Rhinolophus ferrumequinum: one gene and its partners. The protein of the gene in region 2 interacts with the protein of the main gene of each other region in a pairwise test. Links are inferred from orthologs where the notes say so. Each region holds a gene or a part of one and is shown on either strand. Other genes may lie near its edges.

Region 1 (7,335 bases), on a different chromosome or scaffold from region 2:
AAAAGGGAGCTCTCTAGTCCTGTATCCAGACCACCACCTCTGAACGCAGCCACAGAGTTGCCCTGGATGAACCACTTAGCCAGAGAGACACATCCAGGGGCCTCTCCGTGCCAGGCTCCTGAGTGGGACCTCCTGTCACTTTGGTGCCTCAATCCAGCAAAGGGCTGGCCTCCGAGGTCCAGTCCAGCTGGGGCTGCAGCTAGGAAGAACATATTTAAAATTGCTTAAGCAAGCGGAGAAGGCAGAAGTCATGAGGGAAGAGATTGATTGCTAGATTTCAGATGATGTAACAATAACACAACTTCTGACCACAAAAGTTATCATAATCAAAGATAAAATACAAATGACAGATTGGAGGAAATATCTGCAAGATAGGTAATATCTAGAATATATGAAGACTTCTCACAATTCAACAAAAAAAATATAAACACTATAGAAAAATGAACAAAGGATGATAAGATAGTTTTATCTGTCAACTTGGTGGGTGTTTATGGATAAGATTAATATTTAAATTGGTAAATTGTTGGTAAAGTGAATTGCCCACCACAATGTGGGTGGGCCATCTCCAATCAGTTGAAGGCCTTCATAGAACAAAAAGACTGGCCTCTCCAAGCAAGAGGAAATTCTCTAGCGACTACCTTAGGATTTCATCTGCATCATTCACTCTCCTGAGTCTCCAGCCTGCTGGCTCACACTGCATGTTTTGGACTTACTAGCTTCCATAATCAGGTGAGCCAATTTTTTTTAATAGATCTCTTTCTATATACACAGCAATTCGTTTTGTTTCTCTGGAGAACCCTGACTAATACAGTTAAGAACAGGTAATTCACAGAAGAAATACATATACAGCATAAGCATATGCACAAATACTCAGCTTCCCTGATGTCAAGGAGATGCAGATAAAACAACCCGAAAATACCTTCTGTCATAAGATAGGCAAAAAAAATTTTAAGTGGTGTATCCAATGTTGATGAGATTATGGAAAATAAGTTTCCCTAAATACTGTGACTAAGAATGTAAAGTGGAAAAATTTTAAGGCAATTTGTAATTAACATTTCAAATGTGTATACCCTGTACCCAGCAATGTTACTTTTAGGAATTTAACCCCCACATATGCACTCAGAGACATGTTCACAAATATTCATTGCATAATTATTTGTAACTGCAAAAAATTGGAAACGTGAAAGTCTATTAAATGAGAATGGTTAAGTAAATTATGTAACATCTATAGTGTGGAATACTTGGCAACTGTCAAAAAAGAAACCAATAAATAAATGGAAAGACATCCCATGTTCATGGATAGGAAGACTTAGTAAGACGGCAATACACCCCAAATTAATCTACAGATTCAGTGCGTTCCTTATCAAAATCTCAGCTGTCTTCTTTGCAGAAACTGATCCTAAAATTCACATAGAAATTTGAGAAAAGCCAAAACAATCTTAAACAGAAGTTGAAGAACTCCCACTTCCCAGAAGTTGAAGATTTCAAAACTTGCTATAAAACAATGGTAATCAAGACAGTGATAATGAATGGCATAAGGACAGGCATATAGATCAATGGAATAGAATTGAGAGTCTGGAAATAAACCCTCACATTTATAGTCAATTAATTTTATCAAAATTAAAAATAACAAGGCCTAGCCAAAGGCCTCTGGGAAGGTCAGGGAATGGGGCAAATGGGGATGGATTATTCTATGTAAAATCACTTTGTGATTCTGGAAATTTGCTTCTTTTCCGTCTTCCCTGTTCACAGAATGATCCTCTCTACTTAAAGTTGAAAGACAGAGGGAGAGAGATTCCTGAATTGGAAGGCATAAGGGCACTGGAGTGTTTTTTGAGGAATATGGGAGAAGTTCTGCAGTCCTTGATGTCTCTCCACTGTACCCTCTCCGTTGAAGTGGAGGTTCACTGCATTCATTTTGACAAGCTATTTAATAAATATGTTTTACATTTCTTTGCTGTAACAATCAGAGTAACTGCCTATGATTCAAATTTCTGTGAATGCTCAGGCTCATACCTTGACTACTAACTACTGTCCTTTAAGAGTGATGTCCATATGGCCCATTAAGTCATCCAAGACTGTTTATCCCTAGACGCAATGTCCCTAGGATGTTGGGCTTCGAAGTTCTTCAGTCTGCTTTTTGCAATTTTTCCTGTTGAACATTTTTAATCCTTGCGAAACTCAAAGTTACTCCTTCTAGAAACTACAGCATGCACACATCCCCTGATCTTTCTATAATCTTGATGCTGGGAAGTCAGATGACAACATTTATTTAAAATACATGAAATAAGAGAAAAGAGGCTCTATGTGAGGAAAACTTTGAGCTCTTTCACGGAGAAAGTTTATGATCCTTTAGAGACTGTTTCTCAACCTCTACGCTGCCAACATTTGGGGCAAAATAATCTCTGTTGTGAGGTCTGTCCTCCGCTTTGTAGGATGGTTAGCAGCATCCCTGGTCTCTATGCACTAGATGCCAATAGCACTTCCCCCCCGTTGTGACAACCTAGAATGTACCCACACACTGCCAAATGTCCCTGGTGGGGAAAATCACTTCCTTACAGATTTTGTGATATAGTCATCCCTTGGTATAAGCAGGAGGTAAGTTCCAGAACCCCCCATGGATACCAAAATTCATGGATGTTCAAGTCCCTTATATAAAATGGCAGTTTTTGTACATAACCTGTCCACATCCTGCACACTTTAAACCATCTCTAGATTACTTATAATACCTAATACAATGTAAATGCTATGTAAATAGTTCCATACTGTATTGTTTAGGGAATAATAACAAGAGAAAAATGTTCAATAGAGACGCAACCATCATAGGCCTAACGATATAGTACACATCAGCAACAATGTAACCTTTTTTTCCAAATATTTTTGATCCCTGGTTGGTTGACCCCATGAATGTGGAACCCACAGATACAGAGGGCTGACTTGTTTTAGTCACTCTAGTCTTTTTTTCCTTCTGGTTCTGTATAGTTGTGATTAATAGGTTACTTTATTGATTTGCCTAACATTTCATAAAAATTGTGTGTGCATGCATGTACTTTATCAATAGAAGCATAAGCTATACCCCCTTGCCTCAGGATACACAGGAAGGAAAATATGCACAAATGTACCAATGTGCAGAATAGTCCCAGATTCTCAGCAGGAGCCTTACTCACTGTCTGGACCCTCTCTAACATGAAGCTGAGCAGTGCTGCCACAGAATTCCTCAACCCTGCCATGCTTCCATACCCAGACTCCTATTTGGCTCCTATCCCAGCCTCACACTCAGCTCAAGCTCTTTCCCTAGTCTGCAGCACTCTCCATTCCTTCCTCCAAGTCCCAGCACCAGGTTTTCTCTGGGCCTCTCCTCTCTCCTGGTGCATCTCCCATCACCCATCTCTGCCTGGACCAGGCCCTTTGACACTGAGCAGTCTGGCTCTGTTGCTGGCTAATCCATTCTATGTAGTACGTTTTCTCTCCTCACCGGCCATGTCAATTCCTGGAAGGCAGCACCATCTGAAACTAGTAAGCCATTTCCACTATGCACTCATCCCCTGCCCAGCCTTGGGCCAGGCGCCCAGCAACTCCTCAAGCCTACTCCATTGAACTTGGCATTCAATCCCTGCCCAAGGCTGCCCTTTCCATCTGGTTTCCTAGTGCTCTTCCCAGCTTCCCCTGTCTAGCCATTTCTTCAAGCTCTTCCGACCTACGTTAAAATCCTTCCAGACTCAGTTCAAAAATTTGCCCCCAAGGTAGGATTAAATCTCTTCTTCCCACCTAGAGCTAACCTACTACTTCTTCCCTATACCCATCTACAGCATTTGGCACACGACGTTGTACCTTAAATTAGATTTAATCTGAGTCTGTCTCCCTTCTCCACCCCATCCTCCGCTGTGAGCACCTTGAGGAAAGGGCCGGAGGGCTGTTTATCCTGGTACCCTTACAACTCTCCTTCAACCTCAAAGTTTAATCTGAATTTGTTGAATAGAATAGAAACAGGACGCACAAATGTCCCAAATGCAGAAGCGGACATCCTTTAAATGCCCTTGAACGCACCCTTGAAGGGGCAGCTCCCCTGGCTGTCAATATCTCCAGACAGACGCTGCCCGGTCTCCAGCAAACTCTACTAGGCGGCCGCAGGAGGCTGCGAGGCCGGTCCCGAAGCCGGGTTGAGCAAGCCAGGGCATCACATGATTCTCCGATCACATGATCCCTAGAAATGGAGGGTGGGAGAGTCAGGCTGGGAGGTGAGTGTACTGAGTACAAAAACACAGCACTCCAGGATGGCCCGGCCCCTACGTCGACAAGTAGCGAATGGGAGGACGACAGCCCGGACATCTGGCCAATGGAAACTGAGGTGGGCGGGCCATCGCGCTGCGAGGCCCAAGTCCTGGAGCTGTGGGGTGGCTGCTACCCAGCGAGCGCCAAACGGGACACAGGTAAGGAGGTCGGCTGCGCAGACCTCTCCCTTGCTTCTTCAAGGGCCTGGCCATGGGGTCGTGGGGACTTGATGTTCCTCTGGAGTTTTAGCTGGGAGGCAGAAGATTCATTTAGAGAATCTCCTTTGGGGGTTTGCGATGTATGGGAGGGAGTTTTATGAAGGGTGGGAGTAAGCAGTAATGGCAGTGACCCCCTTAGAAAAGGGCAATCTCCCTCTACATCCCAGCATCCCGGAAGCTGCAGCCCCTTTTCCCAAAGCAGGGACCACTCCGTTCTTGAAGACCTCCGCCCCCCATCAGCTGGTGCTGGTGCTGCTGCTGGTGGTGGGTAGTGCCCACGGCGTCTGGTAGAGGGAGAGGCGCCCACCCTGGCCAGGAGCTCAGACGGCTGGGATTTAGACTTGAGACTCAGGCCTTCTCAAAGGTAGTAGGGACTTGGGAGGGTTGTGTCTGGCTCTCCCTTACTTCCTCTCTTGAGGGTGGGACAAGCTAACTTCCGCCTCTCCCAGCCACGTTTTCCTGCTCATTGGTAGTTGGATTGTTTCACCTTTTGGGAATCTCTCTCTCCTCCTGGCACTCAGCGTTGGGGGATGCCATCTAGTGGAAGATGACAGAGCTGGGGGCTTGAAGAGGCTCCTGTCCCTCGCTGGTGTGGCCGTGTGGATGGCGTGGGGTGAGAGAGGCCATAGCTCAGAACACTCCTGAGAGGAACTGGGCCCTCTCCTCCCCCATCCCTGGTCCTGAGTGTGTGCGCATGTGTGTTCAGTAGATGCGTACACTATACTCCCTAACCTCAGGATACCCCAAAAGGAAAATAAACATAAATAAATAACTAGGGTGCTGAATAGTCTGAGATCTGTACCGACAGGCACTCCTTCTGGCCTAAGCCAAGAAGTGGGTGGGGCCAGCTGTAGATGCCTGGGAGCTGTGGGCCCCGAGAAGTTGAAAGGGACCAAGGTCTAGAGCCAGCCTTCTTCATCCTTACCTGGCGGAAGGTGGCCTCCTGGGAATGGTCTTTGTGCTAGGGAGGGGACTCTGAGGGAGGGCAGGTGAGGGAAAGAGGATGTGAGCGACTGTGTGTGTGACGCCCTGCCACGCAGTGCGCTTGCACTGTCCATGCACACTCAGTGGGAACTGAGGCACGGAGACAGGGAGCAAACTTTGAGGCACTCACAATCAGTGGCAATTGTAGGTCTAGGACCCAAGTGCAGTATCCAGGCAGCCCATGTGCTTCCCATTTCTGTCCTGTCCAGGAAATACTTCTGTCCCCCTTCTCTGCTTGGACCCCAGGCCTCTATCCTCCCAGGGTTTGTTCATTCCCATGCACTGTCCATAGTGCCACATGTGAAATGAACCCAGTTCCAATATGCCCTGGAGCTGTCAAAGCCTGTTGTCTCCATGACTTGATATATAAAATTGGTGTATTGCTTAACATCTCTGAGCCTCAGTTTCCTCCTTTGAAAAGTAAAGGTAATAATACTACTTTGGTTGGTGGTTGCAAAGAAGAAAGAAAATATAGAGTGTTTAAACTGGCTCCTGAAAAGCTCAGCAAACATTGCTGTTTTTGCCCCTCTAGGCAGGGAGGGTAATGTCTCCCAGGCCTGCCCCACTGAACTAGCAGGGCTGGCTGATCATGGGGGAAGAGTTGTGTAGGAAGCAAGAGGCTGCACGCTCCCCACCTCTCCCCTCCCACAGACCGTGGCTAGTTCTTTCTACTGACTCAGAGCAGCAGCTGGGTGGGCACTCGTGGTTTCTCTCCCTGTGCAGCAGAGTTTCAACTCTAGGGTAGGGAGAGAGGCCGAGGCAGGGGTATGGTACGCTGGGCGTCTAAAAGGGCCTGGTGGTGTTGGGGGACCATTAGAACACAGGCGTCTTAAAGGCTGTGCGACCCAGCCTGTGTGTCCCTTTCCCTGGGTAAGGACAGGACAGTCAGTGGGTAGGCTGTGGCTGGCCTCTGGGAGAGGCAGCCTAGACTCCACTGGCCACATCACTTCCCTTTTCACAACTTTCACAACCCCGTGGTTTACCATGTCATCATGTGACCTCTCACCAATAGGCCTTTGCAGAGTGCAGGTGTGAGCACAGTATCAGATGAGGAGGCATCTGGAGGGGCTCGCTGGGTAAGTGGAACCCTGACTTTTCTTCAGGACGGTACTCCCTCCCTGCACCCCAGCTACATCTTCCCATGGCTACTGATGGCCTCCCCTCCCCCCCAGAGGTGGCCTCATTTCCCACAGATCAGACCCACAAAAGCCACAAATCTTCCTGATTCTCACATGCCCACATGTCTACACACTCACCCAGAGACTCAAGTGCTGGACCATGTTGGGGACACAGATTCATATGTACTCATGTCAGCATTCATGCTCATGGGTGTACATGCGCTGGTGCAGGTGTGACACGCATGCAGGACACATGTAGGAAACTGAATCTCAGAAACTACAACTTGCTTCCTCTCTGGACAAGTTGTTGTGGGGAGGCTCACGTAGTCCTGGGCCTGGGAGGAGACTGGCCCCAGAATCAGGGATGGCAGGGACTAAGCTAGTTGCCAAATGCCTCTTGATATTCTGCAGGTGGACCATGTGGACCCTGGTGATCTGGGTGGCCTTAGTGGCAGGGCTGGTGGCTGGAAAGCAGTGCCCAGATGGACAGCTCTGCCCTGTGGCCTGTTGCCTGGACCCTGGAGGAGCCAGCTACAGCTGCTGCAATCCCGTTCTAGTGAGTACCCTCAGCCTAGGCAAAAGCTGGCAGCTGGGATTTCCCAAAGGGTCATCTGGAACGGGCCACAGGAGGGGACCAGACTCTGGTCCTCCCATTTATCCTCTCCTCACTTTCCAGGACAAATGGCCCACAGTGCTGAGCAGGCGTCTGGGCAGGCCCTGCCAGATCGATGCCCACTGCTCTC
Region 2 (7,826 bases):
GAGCTGGGCCCAGCCTGACACCGTGACAGCTCTTTTGCTTGCTGGCTGCTAGGCACCCGGTGTCTCTGGAACAATCACAACTTGTACGGCTTTGGCTGCTGGACAACACTGTCAAGGCCTACTCTCTCTCTGAACAGTGAGGCCTGTATGAGCTCTCAGAAGGCCCCCCGCGGCGTGGGGTGCATGAAGGAGCCTGGTGAGTGTGCACGGATGCTGGGGGTGGGAGCAGGGGTCCTGGGCCCAGTCCCTCTTTGGCGCCTTCAGAATCCCTTCCAGCTGTCGGCCCACCTTTTCATTTTATCATTGAAAAACAAAAAAACAAACAAAACACCACCAGCCTCCATTCATTTCCCTGCCCAGGACTGAAAGGGGAAAAGGGCACATCTTACTGAAAACGAGCAACCAGACCCTCACGCTGCAGGAAGAAGCACCTGTTTTCGGAAGGAGGCCCACCACTTCCGTGGGCGCTCTGCCCCTCCAGCAGGCATTCCACAGCTCCTGTCACAGACACAGGTGTCTGCAAGCTGGTACCATGTTCCTCCCTCCTATCCTAGAACCCCTCTTGTATCCAAGAAGGGCTGCCCCCAAACTAGAACTCGGGTTCCAGCCCAGCCCTGTTTTCTTCAAAAATGCCACCAGGATGTCCTGCACACTCAACAAATCCTCAACAGCTCCCTGAAACGTCACGTGGGCGCACACATGACCCGTCACCATGGGTGTGTCACCCGCTGGGCCTAATCTGAACCCTCTGTGCTCCACGCAAACCGACTGCTCGCCTTTCCTCTGACCCACTGGGGAAACTCTTACTCTATCTTCCACACTAAGCTTCAAAGTCACTGCCTCAGACAGAGTCTGGACACCTTCTTTTTCCAGCAAAGACCAAGTACGATTCCCACCTCTGGTCCAGCACCTCCTAAAAGGCTGTAGGACACTTTCCTGGCCTGTCTTACCCCAGTGGACTGTGGGCCATTGGATAGATCATCTGCCCTTGAACCCCAGCACTTGGGGGCGTTTGATCCATATGGACTCAAGACAACATAAGGTCACTGTTAAATTCAGAACCACACAACCAGGTTCCCTGTGGAGGTCATTCTCTTTGGGACTTGGTTTGCTCATTAGATCTTCAGTCTCACCTACCTACTCACAATCCCCTTTATTCCTTCAGTCCTCACTGAGCATTTCCTACCTCAGCCAGCATTGGGATTTGGCAGAAAAAATGCAGGATAGAGTAAGACTACAGCTCTCGACCTGGGGCCGAGGTTAACTCCATTTACAGTCACTCATCCTTCCAGAAGACTGAATTGTAAACCTCAGGTGAAATCCTTGGAGTCCCAAGGACCTTCCAGGCACTGAGCTAAGTGCTGTACATGCAATGGCTTATTTCGGAGGTTAGTAAACATTTTCAGAAAAGGGCCAGAGTAAATTCCTTCAACTTCCCAGGCCACAGGGTCTCTGTGGCAACGATTCAACACTACTAATACAATGTAAAAGCAGCCACAGATAAAGCCTATGCGATTGGTGTGGCTCTATCCATAAAACTTCATTTACAAAAACAAGCTGCAGCTGGACTTGCTCCCCTGACCAGTTTGCTGGATGCCTGGGTTGCTTTGTCTAATCCCCATCCCACAGAAAGGAAAACTGAGGCTTAGATGGATAGGTTGCCTCTCAAGGTCACCCAGCTAAGTCACAAATCAGTTTTGAACCCAGGCAGTCTGACTCCAGAGCTTAAACGCCAAAGTACCCTTTCCTGTCCCCACAAAAATGGGTGCACACACAAAACCTTGCACATGATTTCTTGTGCCTCCCCGCTCAAAACCCTCCTCCTCAAGCTCTTGCTGGTGAAGAACCAGTGGTATAATGGTAGGGTTTAACTTTGGGACTGCTGACATTTGGGGCTGACCATTCTCTGGGGGGCCGTCCTGGGCACTGTGGGGGTGTTGAGCAGCACCCCTGGCCGCCACCCATTCAGTGCCAGCAACACCCCAGTCATGACAACCATAGATGTCCCCATTGCCCAGTGTCCTCTCTGGTGGACAAAACCACTGGTCTAGAGAGAGGAAAAACAGACTGGTCATTCTCCAGTGAGCTCTTAACAAGCACCAGGAATCTGATTAAAAAATGTTCTAGGTATATTTAACCTCACAATAACCCTAGCAGGCATATATTTCTACAGTCTCTCTAGCAGAAGAATGGTGCTGCTCAGAGAGAGAAAGCGACTTGCCCAAGCTTACACAGCCAGCGGGAGGTGGTGGAGCTGGTCCTCAAGCCCAGATTTCTCCCGCCTCGCGTACAGCATGCAGAAGAGTCTAAGAGTGAAATAAGACTAACTGCTGATCCCTCTGTGCTCTCACTCTGCGCTGCGCTCTGTGGCTTTAAAACCACCACCCCCCGTCCCGAACCCCCCCAAGGCAGTGACTGTGACGACGCCCGTTTTACAGAGTGGAAAACTGAGACTCTGAGAAGTCAAGAGGGTGGCCAAGGTCACCCAGATGGAGAGCGGCGGCGCTGGGACAGGAGCCCCGACCTGAGCCTCACGAATGGGGGCCCCCCAATTGAAAGGGGCTGTTTCCCGACAGCAGCGGACACCCATAGCGGTATAACTACATGTGGGCGCTCTTACTTCCCGTTGTCTACCCACGGGCCTGAGAACTAGCATTTCCCGGGCCTGGGGTGCGGAGGAGGAAGGCCAGAGCTGGCAAGGGCCTGCCCGACGCCACCCAGCCTCAGTTTCCCCTCCGTGCCGCCCACTCACACAGCACACTGTTGTGGATCGCGGCGACCCCAGCCTCAGCCCGATCTCCCCTTACGGACCCCAAGGCCCCGAGAGCCCCGAGCCGCGGACCCCAGGCCCGCCCGGCTCAGCGCCGTGCCCACCTACTCACCGCTCAGGCCGCCGAACCCCGACCCACCGACGGCTGCGCCTGCGCACCGCGGCGGCGCCCAACCCCGCCCCCCCAGGCGCGACGCCTGCGCGGAAAGAGCCTCCTCGCGCGCTGGCTGTCATTTTGCGCAAGCGCGTCAATTATTCAGGTGGGCGTGGGGGGAAGTGACGAAGGTTAGAGGCGGGAACGAGCTGGTCGTTAGGGCAACTGACCTCTGCGACCGAGTGAAGGCCGGAAATCAAGACTGATTCGTCCTCTACAGCGGGAAGAGAGCGGTGCATGGTGGGACAGTGGCGGATTTCTCCGTGATAGCGGAGCGGGTCACGAGGCGCCGAGCTGGCCACGTGGTACAGCAGCATTTGGGTCTCGGGCGCCTAATTGGACGCAGGCGCTCTGTGAATGCGAGCAACTGATATCCACTATCTTTGTTCATTTATTCATCCACCCATTTACCCACGAATGCATTCATTCATTCTTTCAAGCCATAAATTGTAAAGGAATACAGAGATTGTTCACTGCAGGTCCCTAATAGTCAACAAACAGGTATTGCAAACCAAGTATAAAGACCAGCAGTGTTCACTCTCATTACCTTGTATTGGGGTAGACGGATTATAGTATAGTACACTAGTATATAAATGAATAAATTTCACTTAATGGGCAAGCGCTGTGAAGAAAAAATGGGGTGTTGTGCTTGTGATTGGGGAGGTAAGTTGGCTGGGATCGTCAGGGAGGGCCTTTTAACTGGATTTGAAGAATGAGGACAAACACTCCACGTACAGGGAACAGTGGAAATGAAGACTAACATAGAATTAAGCTTGGTATACTTAATAGAGGGTAAGTGATGAGAAATACCCTAGGATGACTCAGAACTGCCTACCACTGATGTTAAAGTTGCCAGAAGAGTTCTGCCGATTCGTTTCTATATTTAAAACGTATGCACGTTTAACGCCCTGGATTATTTTAATTTCTTTTGCAGAAATGAAGGAGGTGGGTTTGTTTTTGAAGTTTAGTTCTAGTAAATTTTTCTTTCTGGGTACTTTAGACGGTTTAAGATTTTGTTTGTTTTAACAGCGTTGTTTCGAAACACCTGTTGTTTGAAGTTCTGGATCCGTTTACTGAAGCTTTCTCGAGCATACTTAATTGCTTACGTTTCTGTTTTTTGTTTTGTTTTTTTTTAGGGTAGAGAGGAGACAAATACAAATCAATACGGGGACTAGAAGCCCAGGCGGAGGACTGACAGACAAAACCACAAAGATTCGGAGGTTGGGCGGGACTAGCCGTATGCGTAGGTTTCCACGGAAACGCCCCTCCCCCCAAGTCTCCTCCCCCATGACGCTGCGACCAATGACAGTCAGGGAGGGCTGCGGCGTGCCGAGTGTGAATGTTGACGCGCGCGTGCGCCCTGCGCTCGGTCGCGAGTGCACGCGCCCTCCCAGCATTCAGTGGGCACGCGGGCGGCGGGCGCCTCGGTAGCGAAGGCATCCCCTACGGCTACCGAGCGGACGGAGGCCGCTGGTCGCGGCAGCTGAGGCGACCCGACGCGCACCAGGTGGAAGGAGTGGCCGCTGGTGCACACCCGCCCGCCATGAAACCCCCCGCAGGTACCGGCTGCCCCTCGGTACATTCCCGCTCTCCGGACCGCGGCGCCCCTTGCACCCTCGTGCCTCTCGGAGTCGCGACTTGGAGCTAAGAGCGGAGCCAAGTGTGACTGGGGGGTGAACGGGACCCTGGCGGGGGCAGGAATTGGCTATCCCGGGGCCCCGTCTTCTCCACAGCAGAATGAATGAACTAGCTTTTCCAGCGTTTCACTCATTCTGCCAACTGCACGTCGCTTCTGCTAAGGACGGGTCGGGCCCTGGGGGGGATTCAGGGGGAGACCATGAGTTCTAGACGAAGTTCCAGAGCCAGAGACAGACGTTCAACAAGCAAAGAAGAAAGGGAGAGCTTTAGAGAGTGGTCGGTGCCAGGGCTGGTGGCTCTTCTTTAGAGAGGGCAGTCCTGGAGGGCTTCTGGGAGGAGGTGGCATTTCAGCCTGGACTCGATGGGGAAATGCAACTGTCCCGCCAAGACCTCGGGGAGGAGCGTCCGGGTGGTGGTAACCGTGAGGGCAAAGGCTGGTAGTAGGCAGGAACCGGTAACGCGTTTGGAGAGTAAGTCATTCTGGCTAGACCACAACTTTTAAAGGCAAATGTGTGCTAAGGAAGGGTTTTCATTAGGAGAGCGATGTGACTTGTTTACTGTATTTTAGGAAATCGCTCAGGTTGTTGTGTGGTGTCTCCTGGAATGTTCTCTTGCCCGCCTGTCCTCCCCCAGTTCTTTCTCCAGCCCATTGTCATGATGATAATTGTATTAATAATAGTAATTACAACTAGGGTTATGGAGGACTCAGGAAGGCAGGAATGTTGTCTGCCTTGTTTGCTGCAAGATTGTTAGCTTGGAGACCCAGCACATAGGTGGTAATCAGTCAGTAAGTGTTTATGGAATGAATAGGTCTGCTCCAATTTTTCAAATCCTAGCTCCTCCAGATGGTTTTTCTGACACTTGCGACTCATGGATCTATCACCTTTCTGAGCCCCTGGAACCCTTCTTTACCACGAGATACAGACCCGCAGTCCCTTTTCGTCAGTTCTGAAATCCAAAATACTCTGCAAACAAAAGATTTTTCTCTAAGTTTGCAGCAGCCATTTGGCCAGAAAATCTGACCTGTGCCGACTTGAAAGCCTTTTCCCCCCCGCTTTAGTGTATATTAGCGGTCCTCAGCCGGGGTGATTGTGCCACCCCAGGGGACATGGGGCCCTGCCTGGGCACATCTGTGGTTGTCACCACTGGGGAGGGACAGGGATGGTGCTCAGCACCCACCCCGCCAGCCCCCAGTGTTGATAATGCTGGTAAACACCTCTGCCCTGGAGACACCACAGACAGGTCCGAGGCAGCAGCACCTTGCAGACACCTTCCGTGTTCACAAGAGGAGGAGGCCAGAACTCCTTTGGCTCTGCTCAACTCCTGCCGTGCCAGAAGGAGGAAGGGAGGTATAGCTGGGTGTTTCCTGAAGCAGCCCCTTCTTCTTTATTACGCGTTCTACACCACTCCGTTCATTAAGTTAACTCAAGTCAGCCCACCTAGCTCAAGGTAGGTGTACCCATTCCAGGCCTCCAGGTGCTATAGGAACGCTGTGGAAGGGTGGGCTTCTGAGAAAGGAATGTGGAAAGAAAGACTGGCGGGGTAAGGCCTCAGGGCAGAGGGAATAAACTGCAGGAGGGCTCGGGAGACTGAAACAGGCCAGTGTGACTGGGCACAGAGCAACTGGCAAAACCAGCTGGCCAAACCTGCCGTACAGGACCCAGTAGAGTCTAGACAATGTAGATGAGGAATCAGCAAACTGGTCAGTAAGGGGCCACATGGTTTAGACTTGGTGGCCACACGCCACCGCCCATGTGAAGTTACTTTTAGCTCATGGCTATACAAAAACAGGCGATGGTTTGCCAACCCGTGGTGTAGACTGATGAAGGCTTTGAACTTGACTCGTCAGTGCAGGGTGGAGGCCTGGGAAGGAGATAGGAAGACCTGACAAGCAGACGTGCAGATTTACAAAGGTGGGGTGAGGACAGTACACCACTTCATAGCGGGGGGGTGGACGCAGACTGGGCGTGAGCCCCACTTCTGCCCCTTGCTGGCTGTGGGATCATCGTGGCGGGAGACTTGAACGCTCCCAATCTCAGGATTCCCTCCTACAAAACAGGCAAACGGATGCAGAGTACAGACCAGTTTGAGAATTCAGTGAGGGGACGAGCACAAAACATCTTATGCTCTGAACCCCACATGGAAATTGTCAAGGGACCGCATAGTATGGATCACAATCTCTTGTCCGAAAGCTCTCGGGTCTAGGGATGTTTCAGTCATCAGGATGTCCCCCTATTTTAGAAAGGTAATACAATACAAATGTCCTGTCACATCCAGGGAAGTCAGGGGTTGCCCCCTGTCATCACATCCTTTGAGTGAAAAGCAGGTATACATCAAATGTCCACCTGTCACTGCTGACACACACTGGGGCCGGGTCATCTCGGGTGAGCGGAGCGGAAGCGTCCTGGGCACTGGGGTGCTCACCAGCATCCCTGACCCCGCCTCCTCAGTGCAGTAGCGTCACTCCCCAGTTGTGACGACCACTTCCCCAGACATCATCCAGTGTCCCATGGGGAGCAGAGTCACCTGCCCATCTGTTGGGGGACATGGTGGTCCTCTCCCTCTGCTCTCCCCTTACTCTGACCCTAATTTTGGACGTGAAGCAGACACTGGCGTGGGGTTTTGTCTCCTGTGCAGCCTGTGCAGGAGATGCGCTGGACACGGCGGCCCCCTGCTCCGTGGTGAACTACCTGAGATGGGACCTGAGCGCCCAGCAAATAGGGGAGCTCACGATGGAGCTCATGGAGCAGACCAAGCGCGTGTATGACCAGGTCGGCTCCCAGAAGTTTGAGGACGTGTCCTATGAGAGTACGCTCAAGGCACTGGCCGACGTGGAGGTGTCCTACACAGGTAAGTCCAGGACAGGATCCGGGCGGGGACCCTGACACCCACCCCGCTGGGGGCCGCGGTAGATGAAGGCCTCCCCAGTGATGGGGCGCCGGTGCCCATGTGCCCTGCTTCACTTGGCCACCTGACACGTTTGGTACTCACGGTGTGTCATCTGAGGACCCAGAGGGGACAGCGTGTCTAATGGCATCCCTCTTCAAGAGCCAGCTCAGGTGCCGGCCTTGAAACTGGAGCCCCTCTCACCCCTTTCTGTGTCCCAGGGGATATTTGTTTTCTGTCTGAGAACTGAACTTGGCCCCTTTGCTTTTCTTCTCCCCGTGGGCTCCCCCCGTGCTTTGGGTAACCTGATGCTGTCCCGTGTCCTCATTGCCTCCCAGCTGAATCCTCTCCTCCTTGGGGTCTGTTTGCTCCCTTTCG
Region 3 (6,841 bases), on a different chromosome or scaffold from region 2:
GAGAGCTAAGCAAGAAAACCAGGGCTTATGGGTAAAGGTGGGGAGGAACTAGACACACAATGACGCGAAACTTGGGGAGTCAGGTGGGTTCTGGGAAAGGATAATGACTCAGGCCACCCACATACAGTGAACAGGTTCAGATCAAGAGACTGAGGTGTGGCCTTTTGGTGCTATCTCAAAGGGGGGGCGGGGAACAAGAGGAGAGAACAGCAGGAGAGTGGAACAGCTGGGGTTTTGGCAATAAGCCACGACGAGGCCTCAGCCTCAGAACCTCAGTTTGGGTAAACACTCTTAGGAGCTATCCTTGAAAATAGAGTTGGTGCAAGCTGGACTCTTACCTCCTTTTGATAAATGAAGAAATGCCCAAAACGTTTACCTCTTTCCCTCGTCCTCCCACTCTACCCCAGATGGAGGTCCTAGCCAAGAATGACACCCGGAGTCAGGAAGGGATCGCAGCTGCGTGAGCACACACACACAAACACACACACACACCCCACAAGCCTTAGCCATGCCCTTTTATTGTTTTGTTGCACCACGTGGATGGAGTGAGTGGTGAGGGGTTCTCATACCCCCACTGCAGGTGGCTGGGGCTCAGCAGTCAGTGGGGTATTCGTCCCAGTGCAGGCCGATGGCATTGATGAGGGAGCCTGCCCGGCCACTGATGTATCGCAGCACATTGTTGGGGTGCAATGGGGCGGCATTGAAACTCGTGCCTGTGTCTTTCCCGAAAGGCAGGTAGCGGCCCTTGTTAGTGACGAAGACCAGCTTCCGCAGGTAGTACTTGTACTTGCCGGACACCTGGATCACCGACTCCCCTGGGTGCAGGAAGATCTCCTCCAGGTCTCCCTGGGTGCCACCCACGTAGTCACTCCACACCTTGCCATAGCGCACCTGGAGACTGGGGGAGGGGCGAGGAGGGAAGAGAGGGAGACACTGAGAAGCGTGATCAGAGCCCGGGACCTGTTGGCCTGTATGTGGACAGCTCCAACCTGGTGACAATGACAAGACTCCCGCTCATCCCACAGTACATGAGGGCTGCGTGAGCCCTTGCAGATTACACGAGGGACCTCAGCTCCTCGTTTTGACGACAAACAGCCTCACAGAGGTAACACAATGCGCCCAGAGTCACCCAGACAGTAAGTGCCAGCGCTGGAATGGACCGTCTAGACCCCCACTCGGCCCCCACCCCCTACCTCAAAGAAGCAGGGATGTTTCAAACATCGAAAAGGCTCTCGGGAGGGAAAAGCCTTGTCGGTGCTGTCCCGGGATGCAGAGCCACGATTGGAAAGATACACGCAAAGATGGAAGGTGCCACAGGGGACTCGCACCTCGGGTGGGGGCGAACCTAGATAACTTTTGGGCCCCTGAGAGTTTACGGTATGCGATCCACCCACGGTCATCATGTGTGTTTGGGGTGTAGGTTTCAGCCGCACTGGTCTGGAATCCAACTCCTCTAATACACCACGTCATCCCTGGGACTTACTGACTAAAACAGACGTGATCCAAAGTGGCTGAGAACTTCCCAATTTGGTAAGATGCCACAGGGTTCCCAAACCCCAGAAACTCAAAGACTCTTACCCTACAATGTAGTATCTGTTGACTCGGACACGGAGGGCGGTGATGGGGCCGTCCAGCTGGTTGCCAGAATGAGAGAACCGTTCGCCGCCGCCGCCGCCATACTCTCCGTTGTAGGAGGAGGCCCTGATCTGAACTGGAGGGGAAAGCGGGAGTTGGAGGGAGATATTCCCTGAGCACTCGGGTTCTCCCCACCGTCCCTGTTCCCCGCACTACTCAGTCCCCACCACCTCGAGCCCGCCTCTGAAAACTTTGGCCACAGCAATGACCTTGGGACGGGCTCGTAGCTTCTCACTTACTGGAATTGGCCGAGGCGGTGGCACAAAGAAGGGCAAGAAGAGCAACGGTCAGCATTCTGGCGCTAGAATGGAAGAAAGAAAGGAGAATGTGAAGATGGACCCTTTTTCCTCTGGAATTCACTTACCCAGACACCCCTGACCTCGAGTTGAGACTCAGGCTCCTTGGTCCTGTCGCTCAGCCCTTGCCGATCCAGTCTTGGGCTTAGAAAGGATTATCCGTAGTCTCTAGTCCTGTTCCTTGCAGAATTCATCTTCTGTGTCCCTCACCCTTCTGCCTTTCGCTCCTCTGACTGTAGCCAGAAGATGGATCCTAACCCTCCATCTGGATCAAGCAGTGTCAAGCCCCGTTCCCTCCCGGCACAAAGCAGGAAAGTTCTCTAAAGAAGCAGAGGAACTCTCCAAATCATGGAAATGGTTTAGTTTACCCATCAGGAGTCTGAGAAAACCTGACGGAAGTCTGCCTGCGGTCAGTGGGCCTGGCTCACAGGGCACCTGGGGCAGAGTTTAAGTTCCTAGCTTCCCCCTGGTCTCAGAAGGAAAGGGGCATTTTTAAGATGTGTCTCTCTGTCACCTGGGGAGTCAAGGTGGTGATAGGAGAGACTGGCAACACCAGGGCCCAAGTAATTCTGGTGGAGGTGGCGTAGATTGAGGTGTAGGAGTTGGGACCAGCTCAAGATATTAGATCCCAGGCGCCTGGTCTATTTGTCACAATTCTGTTCCCACTAACACAAATCTGGCCATATCCGTGCCCCTGAGCAAACCAGGGGTCCCCAGCCCTTCCTCTGAGATCCAGGTACCGCTACACCCATGGGTGGCTCCAACCCTGATGCCCCAGGTCTCCCCTGCCACTCCATCCAGGTAGGCTCTTCTCTAGCTCAGCTTGAACTCCCCCTAACTCAAATCCAGGCATCCCTGTCACCCTGTCACCTTAGCCCAGGCCTCTGTCACCCCTCACCTGGCAGTTTCAAGCGCAAAGTAACCCCCCAGAAACTTCCAGATCTTTTATACCAGTTTTAGGCCCTCCCCCCATTCGTTATCGTGTGAACCTCACCTCCTGAGCAAACATGACTAACCTTTTAGGGTCAGTTGTCAAGCAGGGTCTGGAACATCTTATCCTGCCCCTCCTCCCAAGGGTCACAGGTGGCAGGTGGGGTCCACTTTAGGCCAAGGCCCAGCTCTCAGGAGGGGCAGAATAAACTTAAGAAAAAGTCACCAACCGAGGGGTCAGCAGCTTGGGGTCAGCAGTTACTAATCACCTCTGGGTGTGGTCTAAGATTCTCTTCCTCCTGTAGTGGGTGTTTGCAAATGCCCTCACCTGCAACCTCTCCAGCCATTCAAGATATCAGTTTCCCTAGAAAGGGATTACACTGCTGACGCCTTACAACCAGGGGTGCCTATTACTTGCCAAACAATTTTTCTCTCTCTCCCCCTGATATTTTATATGAAAAAAAACCCCAAACATACAAAAGTTGGGAGAATTACACAGGGAATGCCCGTATACACACCTGTAGATTCTACCGTGGTTATATTTTGCTGTACTTGCTGCCCCCCCGACACCCCCACCCCGATCTATCCATCCTCAATCTGCCAGACCCTTCACAAACCTTTTCTCTCTGAGAAGGGTGCTGGACGTAGACACTGAATGGTCTGTTCCCCTTCCAGGAACAGACTCAGTCCAGCAGGCAAGTGGGAAGTTGAGGGAAGACAGTGAACAGGTCGCCCTCTGGGGGCAATTCTGGGCTCAGGGCCCTCAGAACTCCCGGGCCCCAGGCTGGGCCAGCAGCCCACGCAGGACAATTGTTCTCCCCATAGGTCTGAAACTTCCCTGGGGTTTTGGCAGAGATGTGTTCTCTTCCCAGGCCCTTCTCTGCCAGGACTGATTTCCTCGCCACTTAAAATGCCCAGGACGGATTCCTGGGTCCTACCCTGTGGCCCCTCTAGGGTTGATCCCCTGAGGCAGCAGGTCCTCTGAGCAGAAAGAATGGAGTCCAGGGAGGTGCTGGACTCATTAGCCTGGGTTATTAATGACCGTTCAGAGCACCCCACCCCCTGACAGGCTCACCACCTGGGACTGGGGCTCCTGGGAACAAAAGGAACCCGACCCCAAGGAGCTGGAAAGAGAGTGGGGCTCCTGGTGGGGAGATTCCAGAGCCAGGAGGATGCTGAGAATACATCACTGTCTGAGCTATCGGAGTCCAAAACAAACATGTCCTGGTGACATGACTCAGACCTCATTCCAGCCATTCTGTCCTCTCTCTGTTTGCCTTTCTTTCCTGATTCTCTCTTGTTAAACAAAAATCTTGACTTCCATGGGTGAAAGCGTTTTTAAAAGAAAGGGTTTACTGAGCCATATGGTAGCCCCGAACTAACCCCGTCCTGGGGCGTGAAATCACCAGCAGCAGCAGCAGGGCTGGGTGGAAAAGACAAACCTGGCCGCCGTCCTGGAGTTGAAGGGCTCTTTCATACATTATGTTTTGGGGGGAGGAAGATGTAAGTTGTTTCGAAAGGATTTACATTGGCTGCAGCTATGGGGGCTTGGAAGAGGTGAAGTGAAAGGAGGTAGTTCTAGGATAAGTGCACGGTCTGTAAGGAAGACATATTTACTGCTTCTCAGTGGTTCCTGGTGACAGTCCTGAAAGTTCCTGCACATTCAGGACGCGGTGGCATCTAGTGGTCGGCTGAGAGATGCCCGCAGGTCGATTCAAAGCTTCCACAGACATTCAGGAATGTGAGCAGTCGTTTGTCATTTGGCCCACAGCTATTAACCGGTTAATTATTCCTGTGTTTCTCTTCCTCTCCTGCCTGCTGTAATTGAATTTAAAACGTCTCAGAATTTTTCTCTTGTCACTCTTTCCCTTTGTCTTGACCTTCCTTCCCCCACATCTCCAGCTCTGAGGCTTTTTCTTTACATTCCCTCCCTCCCTCCCTTGCTGGTTTACTTCTGCCTCCTTTCATCTCTGTCTCTCCATCTCTCCCAAGCTCTGTGCTCTCTCTCCTGTCTCACTGTCATCCACCTCAGCTCTTCCTTAGAAGCATATCGATAACATAGTATGAGACCAAACACAGGCAATCCATGCCGAGGTCTGAGGCAAACACCGTGGGAGAACGCCCTCATTTCCCTGCGTGACATATCTGGGACCCTCAGAACACAGGCTCCCACACTTGTCGTAGGGTCACTCTGACACACCGACCCCACCTGTGAAAATGCCAGTGGGGCAGGGCAGCCAACAACTACGCGACTGCATGATACGGCCTCTGAAGAAATCAACAAAGCAGAGAGCGAGCGCGAAGAGAGATGGAAAGGCTGTTTGTCTGCGGGGAGGCCCTCTGGTCAGGTAGCATTTGCATAGAGACCCGATTGAAGTAATGGTGAGAAGCACAAATAATTTGGGTGAAGAGGGGGCCAGGCAGAGCGAACAACAAGCCCCAAAGCTCTAAGCAGGAAGTGTGTGGGATGCAGTTAGAAGCAGCAGGGAGGGCAGGGTGGCTGGTGGTAAGTAAGGTCTGGGCAACAGCCCTGAGCAGATGGCGCAGGGCCTGGGGGGCCCTGGTCGTGAGCTTGGATTCCTTCTAAGAGTGAGGGGAGCCATGGAAGGGTTTTGCCTTTTAAAAGGGATTATTCCCTCTGGATTTTGATAGAGGGAGAATGGACTGGAGGGTGGATAAGAATGGACATGGAGGCCATAGCAGGAGATGCGTGGACCTTCCCCCATTTCGCTGGGAGCCTCTCTCCTGCCCTCCTGGATTGCCTGAGAGCTGCCCCCTCTCTCAGACAAAACAGCTTTGTTCTCAAAGTCTTGGTGCAAATTCAGACCGCAAAGTGAGAATCTGATCCTTGACCCCCATCAAGGATTTCTCAAACAATATTTCTAAATAATGGCATATACGTTTCCTGTTAAGGAAAAAAAAATCCTCTTCCTCCTCACCTACACGTTAGGCTCCTTGGTGGTTTCATCTGAACAAAGGGTTTCACCATAAAAAAAAAATCTGTGAACATCACTTTCCTGTCCGCCCTTCACTGCTTCAATGAAGAGTCTAGTGAGTAGCAGTGACTTCACTAAGTGGCAAAGAGGGTCCCTCCACTCCCTGCCCTCCTGACGCCTGCATCTCACATCGCAGCGCCTGCAAGTTGCTCCAGGTGTGGTTTTCCTTCTAGAAGCCCACTGAGTGTCCTCTCCCTTCAAAACGTTCAGTCACACCGGCACCACCACCACCACCTTCCCCTGCACCCACCACCAAGCCTCTCACAAGCACCTCTGCCTCATTTCTTCCCAGCCCCTCCACTGCAAACAGAATTCCTCCTTCCTTTCCCTGGTCTCCAGCTGTGCTTCCTACATCACCAGCTTGGCTCTAATTACCCTGCACTGTCATTTATCAGTTTACAATGGAAGCCTCCTTTGCTAAACACAAGCATGTTCGAAGGCAGGGACTGTTTGATCAATCTCTGAACTATCTCCTGCATCTCACCTGGCACAGAGGAGGTGCACCCCAAAATAACTGTCAAATGCCGAGGCTGCAGGGAAACTTCCATGAAATGCTCCTCATTAGTCTTTTCACACCTCTGTGTGTCTCCTCTCCCAGAGTTGCAGTTGGGTTTCCTTTAGTTTCTTAATTAGGATTCCTCTGGAGAAACTCTGTATTCAGAAGAAAGCTGGACATAAAGACAGAATTCCAGGATGAGGTCCTCCATCCAACACTTCTAAGCTATGTGAACTTACAGAACTTGCATTGGTAAAACAAGAAAAAAAATGTCTCAAAATCCTCAAGGACAGGGTTTTTCAAACTGTAGGTTTTAGCCTTATTCAGTGGGCCATGAAATTGGTTTAACAGCTCAAGACCAGGATATTTCAAAAGTGGAACAGAAAATAAGAGAGCATCACATGTCACTACTGCTTGAGCAACGCTGAGCAAAGTGTCCACTTGTATATATTTTTTTGGCACCCCTGGTATTGCTTCAGTTAAATACT
Region 4 (7,187 bases), on a different chromosome or scaffold from region 2:
CATGGATCCTAATTAACACAGATGCCACAGCCATCTGTTATCGTATGCTTCTGCATTCATCCCCCATGGGGTGCCCTTCAGCTGGACACCTGGCTTCTTTATATTCCCAGTGCTCAGGAGAGCCTGGCTTGGGTGAAGTTTTGGCAAATGTGTGCTGAGTGAGTGAATGGGTGAATGAATGAATGAATGACTTCCCTGAAGCCCCTTGCATAATCAGAGAAGTCTGGGACTGAGCCTGGGCCAGCGGAGACCTGCTGGCTGGGCTTGGGGTGGGGAGTCGGGGGCAGGGCATCCTGAGAGCCGGGAATCCTCAACGCTTGTAGGATCGGCCCAGGTCTGCATAGACAGGTCCTGCATCCTCAGCAGAATCACCAGGGCTTGGAGTGTCAGACCCACCTCCTGTCTCATCCTGCGGCTTGGTTCACTGAGTTCCACCCCGCAGGACTCAGCCCTCATACACTCAGAGGGCTTTGGTTGTACCCCAGACCAAGAACCACACCTGGAAGCACTGTTCTTGCAGAAGCTTCATTTATTGGATTCCAATTCAGGGTCCCACCTCAGTGCCGTCAGCCCGCCACTAGCCAGACGTCCTCAGCAAGGTGACCCCACTCCCCATCCCTGGGGACCCAGGAGCACTCAACTTCCCGTCTTCTGTTCTGGTGGCTCAGTGTCAAGCTCTTCTTGAGGATTATCCCACTTAAAACCAAGGCCCGTGACGCCGAGACCCTGATACTGGCCAAAGAGTCCTGTGAGCACCTTTTCGGGCTGCTCGGGGTAGACGACGAAGCTGCGGCCATCCTCTTTCCCAAAGGCAGCCCAGCGCCCGATGTCGGTGTATATGACCAGGTACCGGAGGTAAACTCTGTGCATGCCGTACACCCCTATAACGTGTTCTCTCGGCCACAGGAGGAACTCCTGCATTTTCCCGCCTGCGACCCCATATATCTCGCTCCAGTTGGATCCATGTTTCACCTGGATACTGGGAGAAAGGGGGAGCTTTGAATACCCCAGATCCAGGGTGACTCCCCACTCCCCAGGGCCTCTACCCCTGCATCACCTCTCCCCCCCGCAGCCACTGGCAAGGAGAGCAACCCTGTCACTGCAATACAAGTCCCTGAGCATATGGCTTGGGGTTCCTGAGACACGTACTGGTGTCAAACCCCTGCTCTGCCGCTTTCGGACTCTGTGGTCTTGGGTTTGTTATCCAGCCTCTCTGTGCCTCAGTTTCTTCATCTGCAAAGTGGGAGTGATGGTTGGGGGCAGGCACTGAGGTCTCCATAAGGAGAGTTCTACACAGTGCCCGGTCACCATGACCCTCAGGTGGTGCCAGCGGTCATCATTGTTCAGAGTGGGGAGCTGTCCCCTGGCCAAGCTTGGGCTTTCTGAGCCCAAGCCACTCCAAGTAGATCAGGTTGCAGGCCTAAGAAGCAGGTGAGCTCCCACACTTACCAGGGTGGGGGTTCCACTTGCTCCACCCATCTGGACTCATCTGTGTGTCCTCGGTGCTTGTCCTAGAGCCTCCGCCTCCACCTCCCATGCCCGCAACTCGTCCCCTGTAGTGCCAGCTTCTCTGTCCCATTCTCTCTCCCAGGTCCCTGGGACCGCTTAAGTGCAGAGCAAAGATTTGCCCCAGGCTTTGAGCAAGGACATCACCCCCACATTAGGGGAACGTCCCTGGTCTTTCTGCCTGTACACACTTTTGGCAACTTGTGTTCAATCAGGGGTCCACTGACCCTCACTTCCTTTCCTCCTTGACCCTGACCTTCCCCCCTGATTTTTCCATCAGGCATTCTCAGACTGAAAGGCCGTTTTTGGTTGAGTTGGGTTTGGGTGGAAAGGAGAAAGTAGGGAGAAACATCACCTCCCCCCCTTTTTGAGATCAATGACTGGACTTGCAGGTGGAGACAGAAAGAAGTGAGGTTAGCACGCAGGAGAGGAGGTGGGTGAGGAAAAGGGACACATGGAAAGGTGACGGCTGGTGGCTCATGACTAAAGGACTCAAGTGGCCTCAAAGAGTCATCAAGAGCCTAGTGAAGATGTTGGAGAAGAGGCGGTGATCCCCCTCCCCAAGTTCCCAAGACTGTGGAATGAATTGGGTCGCAGTGACAGGGCCGTGCCCTGCTCCTACTCACCTCTTAAATATGCCTATAGGGCCCACAGACACCCGAATCCCAGTTATGTCATTTTCTTCGTCTACAGGGGTACTGAAATACGTTCCTCCTCCATTCCCATACATCTCTAGATGGATAAAAGAACCAGGTGAAAAAAACAACACACACACAGTAATATACAGGTGATCTTTGCCCAGACTTGATGCAGCCCCTCCAGGCAGATGGGACGGTCCTGAGACTAGAATTAGTCTGTAACAAGGGCTGGGCCTAGACTCTGGTCTCCTCGTTGGACGGGGTGAGGGTGGCCACCAGGGGGATGGGCTGGAGGGAGGCAGACCCAGCCAGACTTACGCTGTGCCCAGCAGGTGGTACTCCATAGGAGGGTGAGGGTCAGCCACAGCAGCATGGCTTCTGGCTCGTGAGTCCCAAGGCTCCTGGAGAGAAGGGATAGGCCACCTGACTCTCAGAGAGGGGCCCTGCCTGACCTTGTTGGGCCCTATCCATGAGAGGGGAGCACCACCTACCTGGCCAGGAAAATCTTGTCACCCAGTCCTGGCACTGGGAGTCTTGCACCTGGGTGCCCTTCACTTGGCCCTTTATACTCTCCCAAGCCCTGTGGGCCCCCATCCAGAAGGAAGGAGTGGGGGCCACCAGGGGGACAGGAAGGAGCTGGTCGGCGGGGGTTCTTCCTGGGGGAATCCCCGGAACCATCCTAGGGGAAGCTCCCGGACATGCTGTGTTTGTTTTCTTGGACCCAGGGCCTATACAAACAAAATGGGACAGTGACAGGGATTTCACTGTCACCTCTGGGTCTCTCCCCTCAACACCTGAACTAAATCTTGACTTCAGAGGTGGAGGATGTTTGCTGAGAGCCCTTCTCAGGTTGGCCAAATGGGTTTCAACCCCATGGGGGGGATGTAGGTCGAATGTCCGCAGAAGGTCCATGGGGCACAGGAATCTTGTCTTGTGCACAACTGAGTTCAAGACCTCATTCAGGCCTGGGCAGAGCCTGGAGTCGTGCGGGGTCCCGGGAGCCCAGGTCAAGCTCCCAGCTCCCCCTCAGAACTGGACTGGACGACCCAGTTCTGTGTGTCTGGTGTGAGGTGGAAGACATATCCCAGGGCTTCCACGGCCTGTCACTTGGAAGATGTCTGTGATCTTTCCTCTGTGCCAGGCCTGGGAGTAGCTAAGGATGAACTAGCCTTAACGGGCTATAGGATGACCAACAGCAAAGGTGCCATGACAGGAGGCGCAGAGGATTGGGGACAGGTGAGCCTCCAGGCCAGTCCTTCCAAAGGCACCTGCGGCCAGGCCAAGGGGTCAGATTTTATCTGGAAGGTAACAGTGTAATTCTAAAAGGGTTCTGGGGACCCTGCTGGTGTGGCAAGTTCAGGCTTTCTGCGAAGGGCTGGAGCTAAGGCTGTCCACAGGGGTCTCCCCAACCATTGAGAAGAGCCACAGGTTGTCAAGATAGGGGCTGAATGGGGGTGTGGGTGCTGGAGCCAGATCAGGTCCAAATCCTTTCTTCCCTACTTGCTAGTCATGTGGTTTGGGGAGCGTATGTCACCTCTGTGTGCCTCGAGTATTTCATTTGATATATGTGGATAATGGTAGAAACTACTCATAGGATGTTATGCAAATTTAGCAAGATGCTTCTCCAGCTAAGGGTCTGAACACCAAAGACTTTATGCCATGTGGACAGGTATACAAGGTTTTTCTTTGCAGCATCCTTTGAAACCACAGATTAAAAACAACAAGACTTGTCCATCTAGAGGTGACCCATTACATAAACGATGTTGTCATCCATACAGTGGAATACTACACAGGTGTGAAGAAGGAATGAAACACTCCTGCTGTACTGACACATTGCCCAAGGACACAGGCCACTGGAGACACGAGGGCTTAGAATGTCCCCATTTGGCTACAAGGCTGCAAAGAATGGCCTCATGTGTGCACAGACTTGCTTTGGGAGTGCTGACTCACCAGGAGCTGGGAACACTGGTTTCCTCAGGATGGCAGTGCTGGAAGGCCTGGAGAATGGGGTGGAGGCCCTGTTAGCGGGCACCTCCATTATCCACAGCAGGTACCTAGGGCAGGGGTTAGTTACTATGGTCTGCAGCTGAAGCTGGCCCTCTGCCTGTTTCTGCACAGCCCATGAGCTAAGAACACTTTTTACATTTTTTAAATGATTAGGAAATACTCAAAAAAAGAATAGTATTTTATGACACACAAACATTCTATGAAATTCCAGTGCCATCGCCCACCAATAAAGTGTTACTCATTTGCATATATTCTGGGGCTGCTTTCAACTAGAGGCGGAGCTAAGTCCTTGTGACAGAGACTTTAAAACCTAGAAAACCTAAACTGTGTCCTCTCTGGCCCTTCACTCACGTCAGCGGACCCCTGGGATCCCTGTTCCTGGGAACAATCGCAGCCCTGTCCATGGTGCTGGATACGCGGGGCTGGGAGGTCGGGAGGGGAGTTCCATTTAACAAACACAACAGAAAGGTGCTCTATCCTGAAAACTGTGCCCTTTCTTCTGACTCTGCACTGGTTTCCCTGCAAAGGCTCCTTGATGCTCAGGCCTCCCAACCCCCAGGCTCCAGAAACCTCCTCCTGAAAGGAGGTGGAAGAGGCCTAGGACCTCACAGCACAGCTCTGGGAGGCAGGGGCTGGCAGGTTGCACAAAGGGGCTTGTGTTCCTGCCCCAGCCCAGCCGGAGGGTACTTTTGCGAGTTTTGCTGCCAATTCAGGCATTTTCTTTCCAGCTCCAAGCTGGCAGGGTTTGGCGCCCAGAGAGTCTGTCTGGGCGAGGCCTCCAGGAAGCACTACCTGGGGTGGGAGTTGGAAGAAGAGACAGGTTTCTGGCCTGAGCAAAGAGGGGATAACTGAACTTGCCCAAAAGCACACATGAAGCACATTTTCATAGAGCTGTGAACATAATTATAAGGGATGGCCCACGAATGCACCCTCATACACACACACACACTTACTCAATAGCGCCACGCACAGGAGCTTGCGCATGCCCTCCACACACGTGCATAGCCTCGTGCACACCTGCATAGGAGGCCCCGAGCCTGTAGGAGACCCTCCTCCTCTGTCACTCTGGCCCAGTGCTGGCCCTGAGCCTGAGGGAGACTCAACACAGGCCCTTTGTCCCTTGGGATCAGAGCTCCCCATGAGGAGATTTACTGGACATTTACAAGGTCATAATCTCCTCCATGGGCGTGCCCCAGACCTCATTCTGCCAGGAGCCCCAAACAATGGGCCCTTCTTCCAGCAGAGGCAGGCCCTGGCCTGGCTGGTTTGGTTTTGGGGACGGGGCGGGGGGGTGGTCAGGGCTGGCTCCCGTGAGCTCCCTGCCCTCTGAGTGTGGGGTTCGGGCATCCTGAGGCATAGCAGACAGGAGGGGCTCCATTCCCTGCCCACTCGTCTGGCCAGGCCTCCCTGCCACCCTATTTGGGAAGCCCTCAGCCCATCTTGGAGGATGGAACTGTGTCACTGGTTCAGGTCTCAGGGGTAAGCCTGGCCTGGCTGAGACTCCCAGGGCAAAGTGGGGGAGCTGGTTCCTTCACATGGCCTCATCTGATCCCTGGGGCCCCAGAAATCAGAGGAAAAAGCCTGCTGGGTGGGGGACGGGAGTGACTTTTGTGGCCTTTGCTGGCCTTTGTGTTTTTCCCTTGAGTGGCTGCTGCCAGGCAGAAGGTCCACATTAAGGGAGGGGGCAATTTGGCTTTGCGTTTCTGAAACTCTCAATGCTTTCCCACTCATTCACTTACTCACTCATTCAAATTCTTAATTGGATGCTGAGCTCTAACCTAAGCATTTATCTCCACTTTTCCCCAAAGAAACTCAATCCTTTTCTTGGAAAACCAGGACACCTAACCACCCATTTTATCTAATCTTTTATGTAATTCAAATTCCGTCAGTGCTAGTGCTGAAAAGAAAATGAATTCTACCCAAGTGTGAAACTGAGGGAGGCAGGGGATGCAGGTTCTGATTCCCTAAGGCTGCCCTGGCAGGTGTACTCGTTACCTGGTGTATTAGTCAGCATGGGCTGCTGGAACAAACACCATAGACTGGAACACTTCAACAAGAAACTGTACCCTACCTGAAGTCCCCGGAACCTCTGGTCCCAGCAACACTGAGGCCTCTATCCCCATTAACAGGACCATCTGCCCCCCGCCATTAACAGGGCCTCCCTCCTTTGAGAGACTCCACCATCTCTCTGAGGCCCAGCGTTCTTAAAGAATTCTTCTCTTTGTAAATATCTCCTTGTTGTTTTTGAGAGTTTCGAGGTGTCTTGACAAGCAGGTATGTGGGTCTAGGCCTCCATCCTGACCCACACCCTAGACCTCCTTCCATCTGCCTGTCCTTTGAATCTGCTTTTCCGAACAGATTTCTGGAACAATGTTCAAACGAAACTATGGTTATTTCCAGATGATTGGATTTAGGACATTTTTCTACTTCTCTGTTCTTTTTTTTATTTTAAAGATTTTATTGGGGAATGGGAACAGGACTTTATTGGGGAACAGTGTGTACTTCTAGGACTTTTTTCCAAGTCAAGTTGTTGTTCTTTTAATCTTAGTTGTGGAGGGCGCAGCTCAGCTCCAGGTCCAGTTGCCGCTGCTGGTTGCAGGGGGCGCAGCCCACCATCCCTTGTGGGAGTCGAACTGGCAACCTTGTGGTTGAGAGCCCGTGCTCCAACCAATTGAGCCATCCAGGAGGCAGCTCAGCGCAAGGTGCTGGGTTCAATGTTAGTTGCAGAGGGCGGAGCCCACCATCCCTTGCGGGACTCGAGGAATCAAACTGGCAACCTTGTGGTTGAGAGCCCACTGGCCCATGTGGGAATCCAACCGGCAGCCTTCAGAGTTAGGAGCATGGAGCTCTAACCGCCTGAGCCACAGGCCCGGCCCTGTTGTTTTTTTTAGTTGCTTCAATTTTTTTAAAGATTGTACCAATTTTATAAAAACAAAGTGATTATTCTTTTAATAACTGAGATGCATTTTTTAACCTACAACTTCACAAAGGATATAAACGTGGAAGTCCTCAGTGTCGGGACTATTTCAGGAAATG

Evidence for each region.
Region 1: the proteins of SGTA (region 2) and GRN interact in binary tests that used the Homo sapiens proteins (3 or more experiments, as listed by UniProt). The two-hybrid records come from large-scale screens. The link is inferred for Rhinolophus ferrumequinum from reciprocal best matches to the Homo sapiens genes SGTA and GRN.
Region 3: the proteins of SGTA (region 2) and ZG16 interact in binary tests that used the Homo sapiens proteins (3 or more experiments, as listed by UniProt). The two-hybrid records come from large-scale screens. The link is inferred for Rhinolophus ferrumequinum from reciprocal best matches to the Homo sapiens genes SGTA and ZG16.
Region 4: the proteins of SGTA (region 2) and ZG16B interact in binary tests that used the Homo sapiens proteins (3 or more experiments, as listed by UniProt). The two-hybrid records come from large-scale screens. The link is inferred for Rhinolophus ferrumequinum from reciprocal best matches to the Homo sapiens genes SGTA and ZG16B.

Annotation. Positions count from the first base shown.
Region 1 is NC_046304.1:39,390,717-39,398,051, forward strand, and holds the start of GRN (progranulin), read left to right. Parts: upstream 1-4,333; 5' UTR 4,334-4,430; intron 4,431-4,692; exon of another isoform or gene 4,693-4,854; intron 4,855-6,486; 5' UTR 6,487-6,521; coding exon 6,522-6,550; intron 6,551-7,003; coding exon 7,004-7,148; intron 7,149-7,268; coding exon 7,269-7,335. UniProt on the Homo sapiens protein: Secreted protein that acts as a key regulator of lysosomal function and as a growth factor involved in inflammation, wound healing and cell proliferation. Regulates protein trafficking to lysosomes, and also the activity of lysosomal enzymes.
Region 2 is NC_046301.1:60,666,539-60,674,364, reverse strand, and holds the start of SGTA (small glutamine-rich tetratricopeptide repeat-containing protein alpha), read right to left. Parts: upstream 3,005-7,826; 5' UTR 2,883-3,004; intron 1-2,882. Other genes in the region: THOP1 (thimet oligopeptidase), read left to right, coding at 4,468-4,483, 7,200-7,412. UniProt on the Homo sapiens protein: Co-chaperone that binds misfolded and hydrophobic patches-containing client proteins in the cytosol. Mediates their targeting to the endoplasmic reticulum but also regulates their sorting to the proteasome when targeting fails.
Region 3 is NW_022680357.1:819,066-825,906, reverse strand, and holds ZG16 (zymogen granule membrane protein 16), read right to left. Parts: upstream 2,855-6,841; 5' UTR 2,830-2,854; intron 1,937-2,829; 5' UTR 1,930-1,936; coding exon 1,875-1,929; intron 1,712-1,874; coding exon 1,579-1,711; intron 899-1,578; coding exon 592-898; 3' UTR 501-591; downstream 1-500. UniProt on the Homo sapiens protein: May play a role in protein trafficking. May act as a linker molecule between the submembranous matrix on the luminal side of zymogen granule membrane (ZGM) and aggregated secretory proteins during granule formation in the TGN.
Region 4 is NW_022680357.1:4,336,013-4,343,199, forward strand, and holds ZG16B (zymogen granule protein 16 homolog B), read right to left. Parts: upstream 2,692-7,187; 5' UTR 2,636-2,691; intron 2,546-2,635; 5' UTR 2,518-2,545; coding exon 2,463-2,517; intron 2,239-2,462; coding exon 2,133-2,238; intron 980-2,132; coding exon 637-979; 3' UTR 507-636; downstream 1-506.